2 linked regions of the Tribolium castaneum genome follow. The protein of the gene in region 2 purifies or fractionates together with the protein of the main gene of each other region. This does not show direct contact. Links are inferred from orthologs where the notes say so. Each region holds a gene or a part of one and is shown on either strand. Other genes may lie near its edges.

The links.
Region 1: the proteins of aprataxin and PNK-like factor (region 2) and DNAlig3 purify together in Homo sapiens (affinity purification with mass spectrometry; 3 studies listed by BioGRID and IntAct, counting the BioPlex papers as one, with this or other methods). This does not show direct contact. The link is inferred for Tribolium castaneum from reciprocal best matches to the Homo sapiens genes APLF and LIG3.

The regions. Positions count from the first base shown.
Region 1 is NC_087397.1:11,971,847-11,976,151, forward strand, and holds DNAlig3 (DNA ligase 3), read right to left. Parts: upstream 3,008-4,305; 5' UTR 2,873-3,007; intron 2,827-2,872; exon of another isoform or gene 2,821-2,826; coding exon 259-2,820; 3' UTR 228-258; downstream 1-227. Other genes in the region: DNA ligase 3, read left to right, coding at 3,459-4,305. UniProt on the Homo sapiens protein: Isoform 3 functions as a heterodimer with DNA-repair protein XRCC1 in the nucleus and can correct defective DNA strand-break repair and sister chromatid exchange following treatment with ionizing radiation and alkylating agents.
Region 2 is NC_087396.1:16,125,839-16,129,609, reverse strand, and holds aprataxin and PNK-like factor, read right to left. Parts: upstream 2,196-3,771; 5' UTR 2,082-2,195; coding exon 1,989-2,081; intron 1,939-1,988; coding exon 1,867-1,938; intron 1,815-1,866; coding exon 1,103-1,814; intron 997-1,102; coding exon 764-996; 3' UTR 732-763; downstream 1-731. Other genes in the region: transmembrane protein 222, read right to left, coding at 1-501; Afti (proteoglycan 4), read left to right, coding at 2,695-2,818, 2,866-3,771. UniProt on the Homo sapiens protein: Histone chaperone involved in single-strand and double-strand DNA break repair.

The sequences.
Region 1 (4,305 bases), on a different chromosome or scaffold from region 2:
GTATAGCTTTTCATTTAAAATAAGGAAGTTGATAGCGACTTCCGATATAACCGGAAGTGCTGCCTGCCATCTTGAAAATATTTTCATGGAGCAGGACCTAAAAGATTATAATTGTACACAAATTTTCAGATGCCTATCTTTTTTAGAACTTCCAATACTTCTAATGTGGGGTTTAAACGGAACATTTTGTATATAATATAATTTTTGCGAAGATAAATAACCAAATATCTGTTCAGGAAGATTTTATTCAATAAATAATTAACTGGGCTTCCAGCGTACAACAAACGGTCTATAATCACACACACTTTCATTAACCACACAGTTTTTAATCCAATCAACGGTAACATGTTTAACGTCCGGGTTACACTGATCAATTTCAGGTACCATACTGTTCAAATGTATCATATGAGTGGCATTTTCCGATTCTCCATGTTTACAAATTTGGCCACCGTACGCAATAAAGTACCTAATCAAATCCCACTGTTTTTCTCTCACTTTGTCTTCCAACACTACCTTAATATTGTGAAAATAGTCCGGTAGTGGATTTATTATTTTTACAGTTTTCGGTTCCTTTTTAACTTTCTTAGAGTTTGACGATTGCGGATCCTCTGAACCCCTTTTTTTGACAAAGCTTTCCAAAGTTTTCTGTTTCTTAGGCGAAGATTCAGCCGTCCCTTGTAGAAGTAAACTAACATCGGTATGTTCCTTCGATTTGGCAAACAATACTTTGAGTTCTTTGAGCGAAGTTGCTGACTGCCAACACTTATCGTCCCTTATTTTCGTAACCCGAGGGAACCTTATCGAGATACCATCAGCCGTATGCACCTCGTGTTTGGTGAATTCCGCTCCGGTTATCTCCCAAACGGGTTGTTTTTTCGGGTCCCGTGCCACGAAATCGGGAACCATTGTTTTGGTACAATGCAACCAATCGGGTACCTTGGCTGGATCCGAGCTGATTTTGACCATATCAAGCTCTGTTTGCAACTTCTCGAGGGTTTTATCATCGTGTCCGGTTGACACCTTTGACACGGTGCAAAACCGATCATTGGCTTCGTCGTAGCAACCCATTAGGAAAATCGACATGATGCCCCCTTTTTTCCCAGTACCGTACCACGCACCTAGGACTATTAAATCGGCACTGTCGGCCATCGCGCCCCCAAAAAGGTAATCCTTTTTGACTTTGAGCCAATGTCGCTTGCCCGGCTCATAAACACTCGTTATGTCTTTGAGCACCAAGCCCTCAAGCCCGAGCTTGAGCACTTTGGCGATCATTTGAGTCAAATCGTTCGGATCGTGGATTTCCTCCATCTCTGAGAAGACTATATGGTTGGGGATTTCCGTCATATTCTCTTTCAGGATCTTCTTCCTGAACGAGATGGGTTTATCGGTGAGGACATCCCCATTGTAGTAAATACAATCGAAGACAAAAAGACACACACTGGCGTCTTTAAACTCGGATTTTTTGTGGATCCCCAAAGTACCAAACGGGAGCGGCTTACCAGTTTGTGTATCAATCATTAGGATTTCACTATCAAGGATCAAATCCGTTCCGTGCGGAAACGCCTGAGGGATATAGTTTTTAAAATGTGCGACTTTGTGTGGCAATACCGGCTTTAAACTCCTCGAAAAGTACTTAAATTCGGAGCCTTGTTTGTGCACTTGTACCCTCTCACCGTCGTATTTAATCTCGGAGTACATTCCGTTGGGGCACTTCTTCATGGCTTGCTCCACCGATTTGCAGGCTTCCGCAAGCATGGGTAGTACCGGGGTCATTAGCTCGATTCTGGCTTTGGTGCCCTTGTCTTTCAAGCAACGATCAATAACAGCCTTGATATCCCTCGAAGACTGGAAGGCTTGATAAGCGTCAGGATGTACCCCATCCAGAATATGTTTCGCCCCTGCGTTCATCCGAAGATCGTGTTTGATCAATCGAATGACGATTTTTAGGTCATTTGCGGTGCATTTGGACGCAAAAGTTTTCAAATGTGCTGTTTGTTCCTCTTCTTTGGTCAAGTTAGTGAGGTCTTGAAGGAACTCATCCACTTGTTGGAGGGTTAGGGTACTTTTCTTGACCGGTTTAAACGATTTACTCCTCTCGTAGAAGACCTGAATCGTCTCACTGACATCCCCCTGTTCCAAATGCTCCAACATTGCGTCTTGATCGCAATGGAAAATCTTGCTAAATAACTTAACCAACTGTTTGCTTTGGAGGTTGTAGATGCGTTTGACGAAACCAGGGAGGAGCAAGCGGCACCAAAGGACGATATCGCCCTTAAAGCCCGTCCCGTCGCTCCCTTTTGTGAACATTTTACTCACAATACTTGTCTTTTCAAGATAACTACTGACGTTGCTAATATCGGCCACAACTCTCCGGAATTCCCGAAATTGATTGTCCTTGTGTGACGGATCAAACTGGATAACTGGACCCGAACTGTCTTTACTACTAGTACTGGGTTTTGCCTCCTGAGGCGTTTTCTTCGGACTAGGCTTAACCCCATGTTTAGTTTCAAAAAAACTGTTACATTCCTCGACACGCTTCAAAATATCGCTCTTTTGCTCGTCATCTAGCAACACCCAGCCGTCGATATCCTCAACAGGGTCATCAATTCGTTTAGTTGTGGGTCTCTGCTTCAAGAAAACTTCGAAAAGGCAATTGACATGATGCCAGTTTTTCATTTTTCCTTCTCCAAAGGGGTTGGCAACCAATTTGGCAATGCGCAACTCGCCCTGGGCACACTTCTGCTTGCATTTTTTACAAACAGCACGCCCCTGCTTTGCGACTTCCACCAGAAAAGGCTTTTCAACAAGCTCATCTGACATCTAAAAGTGAGGTTATGTAACACACTATACTCAATTTTTGATAAACTTATACCTTCAGTGCAGAAAAAAGACCTGGAAGAATTAAATCAAATGCAAGGCAAAGACGTAAACTTTATTGTTTCGCTAAAATAAAATAAATAAATAGGTTTGTACAGTGGGTAACGTGTAACCGTTGAACTGATCAGCTGTTAGTGTTGTTGCCAGTTTTTGAGGAAAAAGAAAGGTATTTTATAATTAAAACGACTCATTTAACCATTAAACAATACTTTATTGAAATAACAAATCATTCTCCCTACAACAATTTATTTTCAATACCTATCTTTATCATTTCTGTTATCATTGGACATAACCTGCCACCTGGGCGAGCTTAAATATACTAAAATTTGTTTATCCTTAATATTTGAATAATTTTTTGCCGCTTATTAAGGACCGGTGTATAGAAGTGTCATTAATTTAATCTGCAATTAAAAGCGTGATTAACTGATCACGTGACCAAATTGAACAAATTTGATTGGTCCATTTGTGTTGTTAACTTTAACAACGAATTAAATTTTAACAAAGCTTTGTATAAACCGGCCCTTAATGGGAATGCGTGTTTGTTGCCTTTTTGTGTGAGTCTTACATAGTTTAACTTCCAGATGGAGGAGAAGCCCTTCGCCGTGGAGGTGGCCAGGCAAGGGCGCGCCCTTTGCAAAAAATGCCGCCAGAAGTGCGTTCAAGGCGATTTGCGCATTGCTAAATTAATCCCGAACCCTCTGGGTTCCGGTAAAATGAAAACTTGGTACCACGTAAGCTGTATCTTTGAAACATTTTTAAAACAGAGACAAACAACTAAAAGAATCGAGGGCCCCCTGGACATCGACGGCTGGGAGTCACTCGACCCCGACGATAAAGTGAATATCTTGGAAAAGATCTCGCAATGTAACCGGGAATTTGAAGCCAAGTTTAGTAAAAAAAGACCGAAAAAGGGGACCAAGCCGCAGCCGCAGCTTGTCGTCGACGACAATTTGAGTAATTTATCTGATAATTGCACGACTGAGGAGGTTCACAAGGATAATTGTTTCCGCGAGTTTCGCAGGATCGTGTCGAAGCTCCCGAAGGTGTCAAGTTCCAACGAAAAAATCAGCATTTTCCGCGAGATTTTCACGAAAGGTTGCGACGGGAGCGGTTTTAAGGGCGATGTCGTTCTCTGGTGCAAACTGCTCCTCCCTGCGGTGAACAAACGCGTGTTTCACTTGCAGACCAAGCAACTGATTAAAATATTTAGCAAGATTTTCGCGGTTAGTGAAGAAACAATGACTGCTCACTTGGAACAGGGCGATGTGGGCCAGACCATCCAACATTTCTTCGAAGAAAACGCCGAGTGTAAACCGGCGAAAAAAAGCACCTTGAGCCTCTTTGAAGTGGACGATTTTCTGGAATCCTTGACCACGCTGTCCAAGGAAGAAGATCAGTGCAACCGCTTCAAAACTTTCATCAAAAAGT
Region 2 (3,771 bases):
TATTAAAGTAACCAGAATCAAAAACGGCAGCCATGTCTTAACAAACCCAGCAAAACTAACATACTTTGAGTACAACAACATAAAAAATGCCAATTTCACCATATTCCAACTTTTCGAATCATCATATTGCATCAGATTAAGCGCGGTGGCAACGTGAGAGTGACAATTATCGCAGCATAAATTGTGCATACGTCCGCTATAAATTTCTGAAGCTTCAGTAACTGCACGGTCCCAGCCGGAAATTCCCCCGTGTGCCAGTGACGGTTTCAGCTGCCAGTACTTAGTAGGGCGGCCGAAGGCCATGTCGTCTTCGGAAACGTAGTAAGGGCCGGCAAAATCCCGGATAACCCCCGAGGACAGGGCTATCCCCATGTGCCCAATAATGGGGAAAAGCCAGGTCAGGAACGGGATTGGGGTCCAGACTATGCAGCAAGGGTAGCGGTCGCGGGACTTGTCGATTTCGCCGAACTGTGCCATGTCGCCACTTTCAGGGCTTGCCATGTTATTAAGCCGCAAAATTTTGCATTTTTAGCCCCACTTGTGACCTAACCTATAAACCAGTGTTGATCTGTCAAATTGTGAATAATACAGGCGATCAGCTGGTTCTTGTTAATGCTTACACTACAAAGTTATTGACGATTAATTTGACCCACTGCATTTTTAGAAGGTAACTACGCACGAATTGCAAGTGCTTGTTATTAGAAGAGGCGCATAAATTTAAACTCATACAGTTAAAAAAATATATATATTTTATTGAAACTATTTATTTATTTACAAATTTTTTCGCTTCCTTGACCAGTCTCTTAACATTTTCGCTGTCCTCATCCGCATTTTGCGAGTCTTCCCAATCTGTGTCATCATCATCTGACTCTCCCTCATATTCTTCGCTATCATCACTAACAACAAATGGATCGTCCTCAGACTCGGAATCCAACTCGCGCATTTCCTGACTATCGGCCACATTTAAACGCTGAACCTTCTTTCGGGACCGTTTTTCTGTCCAATAAAACAAACCAATTAATAAAAAATGTTTATTACTCTTCATAACCATCTTTTGGCTTTTTGTTACAATATATACATAAATTACAGCAAACATTCTTACTTTTCACTGGGGCTTGTTGTAGTGGATGTTTGAAGTCTCTTCTGTGTTGCTTATTTTTTCTGTAACAAGAGGCGCCGTAAGTGCAAAAGGGTCTGTTGTCTTCTGGGTCACTCTCAAAGTCTGAGTCACCAGGATGGGTGAAGTCTTGTCTGTGAACGGGGTTTTTTCGGTAGCACTGGGCTGCATACCAGCAACGCTCACGCCGTGGTTTCGGGATTGAAGTGCCGGGATTTTCACCATCTGGATCTTCTTTCTTCATTTCTTCAGACCCTTGTTCTTCATTTTCAGGAACGTTAGTCGAGATTTCTTCATCTTGAATGGAAGTTGACGGTTCGACTTTTATTTCTGAGTCAGTTATATCTAATTCACTCGTTATTTCCATTTTTATTTCTTCATTTTCTCCAATATTAATCTCTGGATTTGGTGGAACTTCTTCATTAGTTTCACCTTCTTCAATTTTGATCTTTTTTTCTGGTGGTATTTCCTCTTCCGGACTTTCATGTGGCCGTTTGACCACCGCCTCACTTTTAATTGCACCATTATCAGCCCTTTCTTCATTTAAATCTTCATGGACAATGTTGATTTTAAACCAGTGATCTTCAGCAAGAAACGCAAAACTGTCACCATCATTCAGTTGCGTGCTTGTATCTTTTTTGAGAATGGTTAGAGTTTTGCTTTCTGCGGCTTTGAGAAAACAAGGATTGACATGTATCTGCAATTAGTTTGTAAACAATCAAAGTTAAAACGCAATCAAAAGGCCATACAGAAGTGAGTTTAACGTGATCTGGTGTAACTTCCAAAGTTGCGTGATTTCGTGATACTCGCTTGTCGTTGCACTGAAATTTATAGATTTAGCAAAATTTTAGGGCAAGGCTAGTGTCATTACCTGTAAAGCAGGACCGCGCCCTAAAACATGGGCCCCCAAGGGAAATCTATTTAAAATTTCTTCTTCGCCTAGTCTTTGAACTTCCACAAACATTGCAAAATTCGACTGTGTAGAAGATTTATTCTAAAAATTGTAATAAAAAATAAACAAGTCGTAACTTGAATTAACCTTGAAGTTTTTACGTCACATAATTGGCGCGGAATTTGACTTTTTCTATTTGATTTAAAAGAAATGCATTCACACTAGAAGTTTTTATGTTATTTTATATTTCAGTACAATTTACATTAGAATAATGTTTAAATTAATGTAAAAAAAAAATTAAATTAAATAAAATAATTAAAAAAATAAGTATAATGCCAATCTCAACGATCTAAAAACAAAAATCCCCACATTTGACAATGACATGTAATTAGTAACGTCAAAATGGCTGGTTGTCATTTGTGTTAAAAAAATAAATTTGCGTCTTAAAGTGAATAACTAACAGCCAGGACGTTCCAACTGATTGCAAATTGTGCGGTGCTTGGTGGTTGGTCGTTGTTAATTTAAGAGTGTTCGAGAAACATAAATTTGGTTGTTTTATTATTCAACACAGGTGACATATTTTCCATCATTTCTCATTCAGGTAGTTAATTATTTTGCATCACGTTTATTGTAATATTCAAGGTCGGTGTTGTAATTAGATTTAGCAATAATTGCATCTTCGCAGATGTCGAATTTGATTCCGCCGCTTTTGAGCAGTTCACCACCTCCAATTGTAGGACCACTTGACGAGGATGACGACGACGAATTTGGGGATTTTCGGGCCGCTGCTGATTCGTTTGACTGTGATGGTAAATTTTGTTGCCCTCTTTTCAATTATAATAACAATAAATCATAGATTTCTCTTTACCACCTTCACCACAAAAATCCTCAGAACTGAAAACCGACCTTTCCAAAGTCAGTTTAGATATAAATAGCAACAAGAGCCAAAAAAACACACAAGAAATGCCAACTGAGAACGTAGAAGACTCCGTAGTGTGTGAGGAAGTCAGTAAAGATTTTCAAGACAGGAGAAAAAGCTTAGATGCTGAGATCAAAGTCAATTCTAGTGAACAAATTGATGAAATAAATGGCTTTGAGGCCGACTTTAATGACCAAAAAATTGAAGATGATGATTTCGCTGATCTTCAATGTACTCTACCAAATGAAACTCAAGTAGAAAATGGAGTAAATAGCCTCAGCAATGACGAAAATCTATTTGAGGCTTTTAGTGAAAAGACAAATGACATTTCTGAAAGTAATGAGATTAAATCTGAGGATTACTTCTCTGAAGAGATTAACGACAAATGTGAGAACGATCTGAGCGAGTCCTCAGTCAGTCTCAAAGTGTCTGAAAGTGAACAAAAATCAACTGAAGACGATTTCGGCGACTTTGAAAACCATTTTAGTAACGATAAGGAGGCATCAGACGACGAATTCGACGATTTTGTTGAACCTCCGCAACAGAGTAAAGAAGATGACGATTTCGGCGATTTTGAATCGTCAGAATTCGGCGATTTTTCGCAAAGTTGCGAAAAGTCGACTCTTCCCGAGATTGACGTGAAAAATGCTCTTGAAAAAAGCGAAGCAATTTTGAAGGAATTTTTCCCCGATATCGAACAAGACAGTGACGATTGCGTCGCTGCTGATTACACAACAGAAAATCGCATTTTTGACGAACTGAAGGATGTTACGGAAACTAACGCTCTGGTGTATCAGTGGTCGAAGTCAAACAGCCAGAAAATGTTCCTTAAATCATTGAATA